Linked DNA regions of Drosophila melanogaster. The protein of the gene in region 2 interacts with the protein of the main gene of each other region in a pairwise test. Each region holds a gene or a part of one and is shown on either strand. Other genes may lie near its edges.

Region 1 (3,768 bases), about 17 Mb from region 2:
ACTGAAAATAAGAAAGAAGACTGCCTGAAATGCTTGAAAGAATAGAGTTGTCCAAAACAGCCAACCATATTGCTAAATACATATATTTTGTAAAAACCATCTTTAATTATATTATATACATACCGATAAGACTGCAAATATTAGCATGAACGATGCCAAGATAGTTAACAAATCGGGAGACATTTGTATCACAGTGTAGAGAGCTTGTTCTGGGTAATAAAACTAGATTATCAAATGGAATCATTGGAACTGCTTAGTCACTAAATTACCTGGGAATTTGTGCTGCATTTCTCTGAAATAGGTTCCTATCAAAACATTAAATTTAATGCAAAAAATAATACTAATGCCAATGTGAATATATATTTACTATTTAAACAAAGGAGCATATAGTCAATGTTCATGCCAGCCAAAAAAATTCCAGCCAATGCAATCAGTATACATCCCATTTGCAAGGATATACAGAAGCAAAATTTTTTAGCCAGAATCATAATTTCAGACGTTTTGACAGGAAATGCAAATAAGATATTCTGCAAAATATTTTTATTTTTAGAATTTCTTTTAAGCCTGAATGTTAAAAAATTATACGTATATTTTAAATTATCAAAACAATTCTTTGTTAATTTCAATGTACAAGATTTGTTTATGAACCACAAGTCGTATACGTAATTTATGTACATTGCAAAACTTTTAAGCAAATACTCATGTTTAGCTCGCCCAGATGATGGCGCCAAATTTAAACGAAATTGCCTTCACATTTTCCGCCATATCTTCTTTATTGTGGTATTAACTTTTTTGCATAATTACAACTTAAGCAATCTGTATTATGGCCTCATTAGCATTAGCCTAGAATTTCCAGCCCGATGTGTGTCGTGTTTGTCAGGCACGCGTGGAATCGTTTTCAGTTCTCATCAAGATGCTAATGAAATTATAAAGAAAATTGAGTCTGCCATATTAGCACAGTAAAAGCATCATCCTCTCACTTGATGAGCATGGGGTAAAGAGCACGAAATGCTATTGCTTTTCATCATCTTAAAAATCAATTTCGCTGATCTCAATTTAATTTTTAAGGACATCCTCTCATTTATCCACACAAACTGGTCTGAATTCATCTGGATGCGCTTTTACATAATAATACGTGTAGACTTTGAGCAAACAAAATAAATCGATTCCTGAAAAGCTGGAGCATAACTTACGAGAATAGAGATTTTTAATATATATGTTTACCCAACGTCACTAAATTCACGAAAACATAAATAATCGCAGAGACAGCACTTTTAAAGAACGGATTGCGAACATTTATCAAAGCATTGAAGATGATGTAGTACGATATCATATGAATGATGAACATGGCCATCCACACGAAAACGATCCTTAAGTACTTCTAAAAGGAATTTTATTAGAATTAAAAATATTGGAAGTGATTTTCTTACCGTCATAACAGATATCAGCAGGATAACTGCAGCTGCGATCATCAGAGCTATATGAAATACATTGAACCATTTCGCATAAACATCAGTCTTGAGTGCTGGTATTTGGGTTTAGATGCTGTTCTTAAAATTCAGGTTTCCTTACTTTTCCAACTCACTGTTCTTGTATATAACCTCATCCACAGTAGTGCCTGCGTTAAGGAATCCGAAAAACAGTGTGTAGAATGAAACTATGATGCATCCAGAAGTCAGCGAGATGCAAAAGCAAAATTCTTGTCTGACCAGCTTTCTTAAAAATGGCATCAAAAATAGGAAAAATACGTTGCTATAAATTTTAGAAAATACAGTTCCATGTTTGACAAATAATGCCAACCGCTTTCAACTTTTAAACTCCATAAACTTCAACTTTCTTTCCATCAGCTGGCGAAACTGAATTGCTGCATCTCCTCTGGTTTTAGGTCACTGCAGTCTTCTGTCATTTTCAACAAAGTTTCGAACGACCTCGACCTCCCACGGAAACTTTAGCCTTTCGGAAAAGTTAGACAAAGTCCCTTGGTCTCTATTTTTTTCTTCATTATTATCCCCTGAGCAAAGTGAAACTGCTGCCTTTTCCTTGCCTAATGCGTTAATTGAAAGCAGCAGCCGTCTAAAAATTATGTTTTCAATAGACTGGAAAATAGGGGGTGATTTCCGAGGCTTGGGGTTTGGGATTATTAAAGATAGCTCGCATCATGGACTTACTTGAAGTGTTAAAGAGGATTTGTGTTGGCAAAAGTTCACTAATTTAAATTTAGTTCAAACAGTGACAAAATATGTTGCAAAGGGAATGCATTGGGCTTAAATTCCATAAATTAAAAAAGATGTTATTACCAAACAAGAATTGATTGGGTGGCTCAAGGGCAATATTTCATGGAAATGTGAAGACGAAGCCTAATAAGACAATATTAGATGGTGGTTTACTAATGAGCCTAATCAGATTAGTGTATTGTTTCCCAGACTTGATTATCTTGGTGCACCATATGGTTGATTTATTTTTGATTGATTGCAGCATCAATTTATTTGTCATCAATACCAACATGTTGGTGTTGATGCCCCATTAAATGTCAGGGAGAAAGAAAAAAAAAAAACAGAAAGTAGAGTAAGTTCAAAAAAAGGACATGTCACATATCATAAGCACCGCTCGAAGCTCCCAGCCAATACACAGATCGATGGAATCTCTTTCATCCACTTCCAGCAGCCACTGGCAGCTCATCTATCATCATTGCCACGAGTCCTTTCTATCCCGGAATGCTTCCACAGTATCCTGTATACTCTCTGCCCCGCTTGACACCCTTGCACCCCATCCCTGCCGTATTTATAGCATCTTAATTGAATTTCAATTTTCAATTTCGCTTTTAATTGAATTCAATGAAAAAGTGTCGATGAGACGGTATTCAGCATTGGTCCCATCCCCATCCCCATCCCCATCCCCATCCAACCATCCGTCCATACCCCCAGAACCCCATCCCAGCCCACTCCCATTCCCTGCACTTGTTGTTGATGCTGTTTATTCAGCTGCCAGTTGAGCACCGCCTGGCTGCCTCTTGATGGCGCCATTCACGCCACAAAGCGTACCGTCCCCACTGAGCTCCCTGCACTTAGAAAAAAAAAATCATTACCATCCTGGTCATTAAATATCAAACGGAATTAGCCATATTATTGCGAAGTCCGTATAAAAATAAAAGAAAATAAATAAAGGCATACAGATGTAATTTTATATTTTGGTATAATTTTAAATAAAAATGCAATCATTCGATTTTTCTGTGTACCTTCGAAATAGGTTTCAAACACCCAAAAACGAATTGTTTTTTGAAATTGCTGTTCCAATTATTTGATCCACAGCAAAATTCACCTGGTTCGTTAATTTAAAAGTAGAAGAATATTCGTTGATAGTGTATTTACTATTTAACAGGTTGAATGGAATATATTCTTGATTAGGATCACTAGCCGAGTCGATCTGGCTTTGTCCGTTTATCTGTCCGTTCGTATAAGCGAAAAATCTTTCATTGCCGCAATTTAAAAATGTACAATATAAATAAATGTATTGTATTTTATTATTGTATTATTGAACTAATTGTTTCTCACCAACTTATATTATTATGGCAAACATATTGTGAAATTTCTCCCTCGCACTCCCGCTATCTTAGTAAAGGGTATCTGCTAGTCGAGGAAATCGAGTTTATCGTTTGCTCTTCTTTTATATTGCTTATTATTAGTTTTATTGTTCGTTATTAATATCTATTTCTATTATTTATTTTAAATGTATGGTACTCCTTTATGATATCCTTGATTTTTTAACAGG
Region 2 (2,609 bases):
TTAATAATCTGCCGACATTGATTTTATGCAATGTGCCATTTATCACGAGACTTCTAGGAAACTAATTAAACCAGTTTCATTAATTAAATTTATTCATAAATTGTAAAACTGTCGAGTTTGTTAGGAAAACCCAGAACCGGATTCAAACACCAAACTTGCACTTTTCGATGTAACACGGTTGATAATTTGTTGGAAATATTAACATGACAAGATTATCTTTATTTCCCATAAAGTGATATGGGTGCTGGTAAATGAAGATTTGTGTTCATAAATGAAAATGGCCTTTCCAACTCTTGTTAAGACTGAAATAGTCTATGCTTTTTTTTTCTTAAATGCTTATTATGAGTTGAATTATATATTCCACTTCTTTCTAAATGAATTTTAGCTTTCTATTGAAGTTAACTCTGATTATTTATCATTTAATTATTTCTTCCATTCCATTATAAATCTCATTTTCGAAGTAAATTTATGATTTTAAAAGGATTCGTTCTTTAAGTAGAAATAAAACTGTATTATTTGCTGTGAAGTATATTCTTTATTTTTCTTTTCAAAACAATAAAAAACATATGACACACATATGTGTCAAACATATTGGACGATGAGGATCCTCAGCATTGTTCGCACCAGCACTTCAGACTGGCACTGCAGTGTCCACTGACACGTCCTTCCTCCCTGCAGAGGCGACGGCACTGCTCTCCATCCCAGGCCCAGCAAGGACCACTGAATCTTCCAGATGGGCAATCCACGGCCGAAGCCGAGTTGGCCACCATTAGGACAATGGTCACCACAGCGAGGAGAGCAAACAATCCTTTAATTTGAGCCATTATTAGAATGTTCTTCTGGTTAAAATCTTTACTTTTGAGTTTCTTGAGTCCGACTGCACTCTTATATAGGTACAGAATTTGTATATTAACCGATTAGCATAAAGGTGAAAATGCAAATAACTGCAATATAACTTTCGAAAGGCATACTTTTGGGCCTTTTACGCGACAAAACGCGCATCGCTATTTTGGGATGATAGAATTGCTATACCTTCTTGATGTTGATGCACCTTTTTGTTTAATATACTTACCACATACATATTAAATCAAATCAAGAGATAACTCCTGAAAGGCAATGCTTACGTGCCTTTTACTGTGCGGTGTACAGTATATTTATTATTGGCTCAGAATAAACAAAAAAACAGCATGCACTTTTGAACTGCAGTGGATCTAGCATCCTTCGCACCAGCACTTCATTGCGCCACTGCAGTGTCCACTGACATGTCCCTCCTCAATGCAGAGACGGCGGCACTTTTCTCCACTCCAGGCCCAGCAAGGACCTCCGAAAGTTCCAGATAGGCAATCACGTGCCAAAACAGTGTTGGCCTCCATTAGGACAATGGTCATTACAGCAAGGATAGCAAACAGGAATATCATCTGCACCATGACAACTGATGTTTTCAACGAGTCGGGAATTTTACTTGAGTTCTTAAAGACTTTTGGCATCGACCACTCGTGGGGACGCTTATATAGAGATACAGATTTTAAGATTTTTTATTTGATCGTAGCAATCGATAAGCTTCTCGGAAATTCAAGCTAACAATAACCGATATAATCCTAGTTTTCCAGAAACACTTGATTTATGTGTGCCATGTGTCAACTTCATTGATTTAAAAATGCATCGTTATCATAATAAGTTATTTACCTAGAATTGCTATCTTTTCGATTTAATGATGTATGTAAACATTCACTTCTCCTAACACATTGCCATACAGGAAATTAAAAGACAACAGTGCGTATGAGTGATAAGCGTAAGAGGCCTTTATATTTATATATTATTTGTTTAGAATGAAATATTCAATATACACATTTCAAATGGATATAGTATGGATTCAGCATCCTTCGCACCAGCACTTCAGGCTGGGACTGCAGTGGCCACTGATATGTCCCTCCTCCTTGCAAATACGTCGGCACATCTCGTTGTCCCAGACGGCGCAGGGACCCTTGTATTTGCCGGAAAGGCAATCGGCATCAGCCATATTGGCGGCCAGGACAACAATTGTCATCACAGCCAGGAAGACGAAAAGGAATTTGATCTGCACCATTGCAACTGATGTTCCGAACGAGTCTGGTACTTTACTTGAGTTCTCGAAGACGTTTGGTATCGACAGCTTGTGGGGACGCTTATATAGGACTACACCACCTCCATGCATTTCCAATAATCTTTTTTAGCACGTTTCAAAATCTTTTGTGATGCATTTGCTCAGTGGCTAGGTGCCTCAACTTTGATGTCACACATGTGCTCCTATCTGAATTCGATAAGCTTCCAAGAAACTCGAGGCAGAGCTCGCAATCTTGCCCATTGCTGCAATCGATAAAATGAATCAGGGAATCAGGAAGTACCAGTGACCCCTGATTGTATCGAAAATTTCGACTCCAAAGAGGCATTTTATCAAATTGTATACAGTTAGTTCGCTTGGTCTAATTATGTTTGGCGTTTATTTACAAACATATACATCTGAAAATTAATGCAGATCATAAAATAATACATGATGTTTGCATTAAATGTATAGTCATTATAAAGTTCGATACGATTAAAATTAAATAGAAACTAGGTTCTCGGTTGTG
Region 3 (5,051 bases), on a different chromosome or scaffold from region 2:
CTCGGTCGGATGCATTTGTGCAACCACGACAGTGGGGCATCTACATTGCCAACTTGGGGCCGAATGTTGGCTCAGTAATTACATTTAATTCTATGGCTTGGCAAGGGTTTTGCTTGCGAATTCTATGCAGACTCATTGAATTCAAATGTCATGCCAATATGAAAGGGTTGTCAAGCAGTTACTTCCGTAATCTTATGCTTATTTAAATATACTATTCTTTAAAAAACTTATAATTTCATTTTAACAGAATATATTTATATATTTACAATAAAACATTATGCATTTTTTCTCTTTTCATGGAAATCCATAACAAGCCACAATCTTTTCAATTAACATTATCACACTATTTCATGTTGATTGCTGATTGCAGCTGTGCCTGCAAATGTTTTAAATCGCCCATTCAATAATAACTTTCATTTTATTGAATAGTTTTAGGAGATTACCATAACATAAAATAAACGTTCTATTCAAAGCAAATTCGCTAAATATTTCACTGAAAACATTTATAATTTTATGTAATTAAAACGTGAATTTAGAGTGAACTAGAAATCAAAATCAGAGTTCAAAATAATAGCTGGCCTATGCCAAAATAACATTGGAATACAGAAAATTCATAAATAAATCATCAATTTATCAATGCATAACAATTGCGCAATGTTAATTTTCAAACTGCTGTTTACCAATTTGCTCTTGAGTGGATTTGGTTTAATTAGTGCCGTTTCTGCTCTAACTGTCTATGAAATCAATTCAAATATCTAAACAATAAGTGCGTTCTGTAACCTATACGGCAGTGCAAATATAGGCCATAACCCATGCCCTCGTATTCACACATCTGAAAGTTATTTAATCCGCTCAGCAATTTCGATTGCCATTTATTCACTGGCAGAGTTCAAGACAAGTGCATTTCAGCATACCCGAATTCCACATGCGGACATAAATATTTGAGTAATTGATTTCCCAAGTCGACGATGGGAAAACTTCCAATTTCTTGGCTTGACTACTTTTGGGCCAATGCAAATGGTTTATTTTTGACCGCAGAATCCTTCGACTTGAGCGGACAGTTGAGGTTCTCGAACTAATTGCAAAATTGTCAATGATTTATTCAGTTGGCAATTAAGGTGCCAACTAACGGTGTGGCTGGCACGGCTATATCGATTTGAAAATATTCAATAATCCCGGAGCCTTGATAAGCTCATCAAACATGCACATGGCCATCAGCAGGGGGGGGCAAGTTTGTATTTAGAGCCAAGTGTGTTTGGTGAAGGGGGGTTAGCTGTATATTTCAGGGTTTCCCCTTTTTTTGTCGAGCGGTTTGGGGGGGGGTTTTGCGAGGGGACACAAAAGTACAAGTTGCTATGGATCAAGCTCAAGGCGTGGCAGTTGGGCATTAGCTCTATGGTGGAGCACGGCAACCAAGCGAACAAAGGTCAACTCGACAAGTGAGTTAAATGACAAGGACCTCACCTTGCCTTCCTTGGGCTTCGGCTTTGGCTTTGGCCCGTGCGTGTTTGCATGTTTGGCTCGATGAGGCGACGCGACCCCAAAAATGAAACTCAACTTTGGCTTTGACTGCGGCTCGGGATTGTGGCGTGCAAGCATTATGGCCTTTCGCTTTCAAAACAATGCCCCCATCCTGTTTCCCGGTTGGCCTAGTGGCACTTGCTCCTTGTTGTTGGTTTTTCGCATTGCCCTTGGCCAATTGCGAGTGAATTTTGATGTTTTGACTGGCCATTCCTGGGGCCATTTGACAACTCTATAAAACCGGTGTCCTTAAGCCCGCCCTCGTCCTTGCGCCCAACCCCCAATTACCGTCCAACTACCACCCACCTACACCCCGCTACACCCACCCACAAAGTAAACGTAATTGCCCGGAGAGTTTCGCGACTTTCGACTTGGCCAGCAAACTGAAAAAGCGAAACTTCAAAAAACCCGACTTGACTTGGCAACTGGAAAAGTGGAAAAGCGGAAGCACGAGCTTTCCCACCGAAAAGCTCTCGTGCTCTAAGCTTTCGTCCTGGCGAGGCGAAAACGTAAATGTCAGTCATGGAGTTCCAGTCGTCGGATACATGTGGAACACAACGAACACAGCAGGAGCCTCTCGCGTCTCATCCCCCGAATACAATGCGAAAAAGTCTGTACAAAAAATAGACAAATAAGGAGCAGGAGCGAAAACACCACTCTGTGCATAAGATATAACTCCCGCAGAACTGAATACCTGCAAAAAGAAATACGCGTTAAATGGAATTACGGTGCGGGAATTGATAAAGTGAAGTGTGTTACAGCTAGAAAGCAAGTGAAATAAAACGAATACATTAATAATTCATGCCCCTCATAGTCAGAAGCTTACTAGTTTGATAAGGAATTCAACGTAAATCTGATATAGTAATGTAGAAAAGTTGTACAAAGTAATATACATAGCATATAGCATATAGCACAGTTACACAGAACACACCGCAAACTCAAACAAAGTTGACAAAAAAAAAGCTCACGCCCCTCACATCTCAGTTTTTTCTCGAATTATTTGTGAAAGTGCAACAAACATATATAAAAAATAAAAAAGAAAAGGGAGGAGAGAGCACAGCAAAAAAAGGCAGTGACAGCAGGACCTGCAAAGGAATTGCCATCATTTGGGGATTACGGAATTATCGGGATCCGTTCTCATTAAAATGGATTTAAGGCAATGCCGATGTGCTGAGCTGCATTTGTGCATGGGATTATCGATTGTAATGCGCAGTCATCAAATTATGTTTGAACAACGCCGCCGCGACAGCGATAATAGCAACAATAACAACAACAACAACAACCAAATCAACAACAAACACTGATTTGGCCCCTGACCCCCTTTGGCAGCACCCCCTCCATCCAACACCCCCTACGACCCTGCCCAAGCAAAAGGAGCAGCGAAAAAGAAGAAGCGTCTTATGAAACAATTGAAGCACCGGCCAAAGGAGCAAAGGAGCAGACAAAGACAGAGACAAAAACATCGGCAAAGGATAAAACGGAGGCCGAGAAGAAGAGGAAGCAGTAGTAGCAAAGCAGGAAACAACAACAACAACAACCGCAACATCGCATTTTTAAACGGCAATACGCAAAGTAAGTGAAGTGTAAAGTGAGCGAGATGGCAATAGAAAGGTGTAGAGTGCCGCGAAGAGAGGCGGAGAGAATACACTTGCAAAAATGTGAGCAGCTAATTCCCAGGGATGTTAAAAAAAATTAAACCCTCATGGTTCAAAGATTCTAGGAGATGGACAAGTGATGAATGGTCAGTGGAAATATATGTATGTTTTAAGCCAAGTGAAATCAAAATGATTTGAGAAGTACAAATAAAAGAAAGAAAGGAAAGAATGATATATGATATTTATTGGTTGTAGTACAGGAAAATAATAGTTAAAATGATATCCCGGATTGATGGTCATTACAATGATCGTACCACAAAACTCTTTCTAACTCAAATTAAATTGTTAAAATTATTTTTCAATACAAATTTGATATATTTTTGTTTTTTCGCCGACAAGATGCATAGATCTTTCATAGAATCTGAAATCTATATCTTTTTTATATTGCTTTTGAGAAGAGTAAACCGATCATCATCTACGATCACTCCTTTTTGTTCTGTGTAGGTATGAAGAGAGCAGGTGGGAAGGCAGTGAAGTGAAGTGAAGCATTTGTCGCATTTGTGCAGAATTCCCGACGTAATTAATGTTTAAAGTCTGTGTGTGTGTATGTGTGCGAAGGTTTGTAAACTAGGTCACTAGGAAGTTAGCCCCTTGACGACCATCCCCTCTCATCAGCGCCTCTTCAGCGGCAACTCTACGTCAAAGGTGTCAACTCGCCAAATCTGCAACCACACCTTAGTTAAGTGAGCCACCCCGTAGCCACCAAAATTATCCACAGCACCACCACCTTTTATTCGTCCTTAACACACCGCCATGATTAACGCGCCTCAGTGCGATTAACTGGCAAACAAATTTGGAGTGACGCTGCGGCGATGTACATACATACATATATGTATGCATGTTTGTGCTAAACCGACAGCATTTCCATTCAATAACACACGCGGCTCGTATGCAAACACTGTAAAAAGGTTTTATGCTAAAAAAGACGCCGTATTTGTGCATGAAAAACTGTCATTCATCATCCAACCAACACAAATAACCGGTAATGGCATCGCCACATTATGGCTTTGTATTTTTTACATCCTCAAACACAAAAAAACTTTAGTTGATTTCTGACTTGCATCGCATTCATCACCCACTAAAGTCGAGCAATCAATCCTCAAAATACGTATACGCACTGTTAGTTCAGTTGATTAATAGGCTAATTATGAAGGAAACTGAAAGGAAACACTAAATCAATAAATCCTGGCAAATTAGCATCAGTATATATTTGTGTTAGTGCAAACATTTAAGTTTTCTATCAATTTTAAATACAAATATGTTCAGAATTAAGATATATTTCAAAGGGAACTATGCTTTGTTTAATTAAGATTTAAGGTTTTATAACTATAAAAGCCTTCAAAATGTGCCATCTATTTTATATTCACTTACAAGCAGATTTCAATCAAGACCACTCTTTAATATGATATATTATGTCTAGAACAACCGAGAAGGCACTCTTAAATTAAATATTTTAGTACCGTAATAAATTATGAAACGTGCTGACGGTAAAATATATAATACAATTCATACTTTAAGTTATATTTTTTTTTTGCCCTATATGGTTTTACGTATCGGTGTGTATGTGAGTACCTCGCACACGCAGGACATAGAGATAAAAAGGCTTCTCCCACATAAAAGTTCTATTCTGTTTTTTTTTTTTTATAGAAAAATATTGCTGGCAGGAGTTTAGAACATTGCCAAAGGGGATGCGGACAGATGAAGGGGCGGGGGCGTGGCGGGTAAAAGCCATAAAACTCAGGCGCCGAAGCGCAAAATGCCCTTGCCCTGAACAAAAAGAAGAAATTGAACAGCAACAACCAACAACAAAAACAAAGAAGAACAAGAGCAAATAAAATACAAACTGCTTATTTATTTATTTGTTTCGACAAATCT

Evidence for each region. Proteins that work in one complex are often made in the same cells at the same time.
Region 1: the proteins of Drsl4 (region 2) and CG42263 interact in a two-hybrid assay, tested with the Drosophila melanogaster proteins (one large-scale study listed by BioGRID).
Region 3: the proteins of Drsl4 (region 2) and GABA-B-R1 interact in a two-hybrid assay, tested with the Drosophila melanogaster proteins (one large-scale study listed by BioGRID).

Annotation. Positions count from the first base shown.
Region 1 is NT_037436.4:19,954,023-19,957,790, forward strand, and holds CG42263 (uncharacterized protein), read right to left. Parts: upstream 1,778-3,768; 5' UTR 1,731-1,777; coding exon 1,586-1,730; intron 1,526-1,585; coding exon 1,431-1,525; intron 1,382-1,430; coding exon 1,225-1,381; intron 1,170-1,224; coding exon 1,078-1,169; 3' UTR 525-1,077; downstream 1-524. Other genes in the region: CG42654 (uncharacterized protein), read right to left, coding at 1-72, 124-209, 270-305, 368-488.
Region 2 is NT_037436.4:3,313,852-3,316,460, reverse strand, and holds Drsl4 (Drosomycin-like 4), read right to left. Parts: upstream 842-2,609; 5' UTR 825-841; coding exon 609-824; 3' UTR 519-608; downstream 1-518. Other genes in the region: Drsl3 (Drosomycin-like 3), read right to left, coding at 1,212-1,427; Drsl2 (Drosomycin-like 2), read right to left, coding at 1,874-2,086.
Region 3 is NT_033779.5:15,014,304-15,019,354, forward strand, and holds the start of GABA-B-R1 (metabotropic GABA-B receptor subtype 1), read left to right. Parts: upstream 1-2,027; 5' UTR 2,028-3,093; intron 3,094-5,051.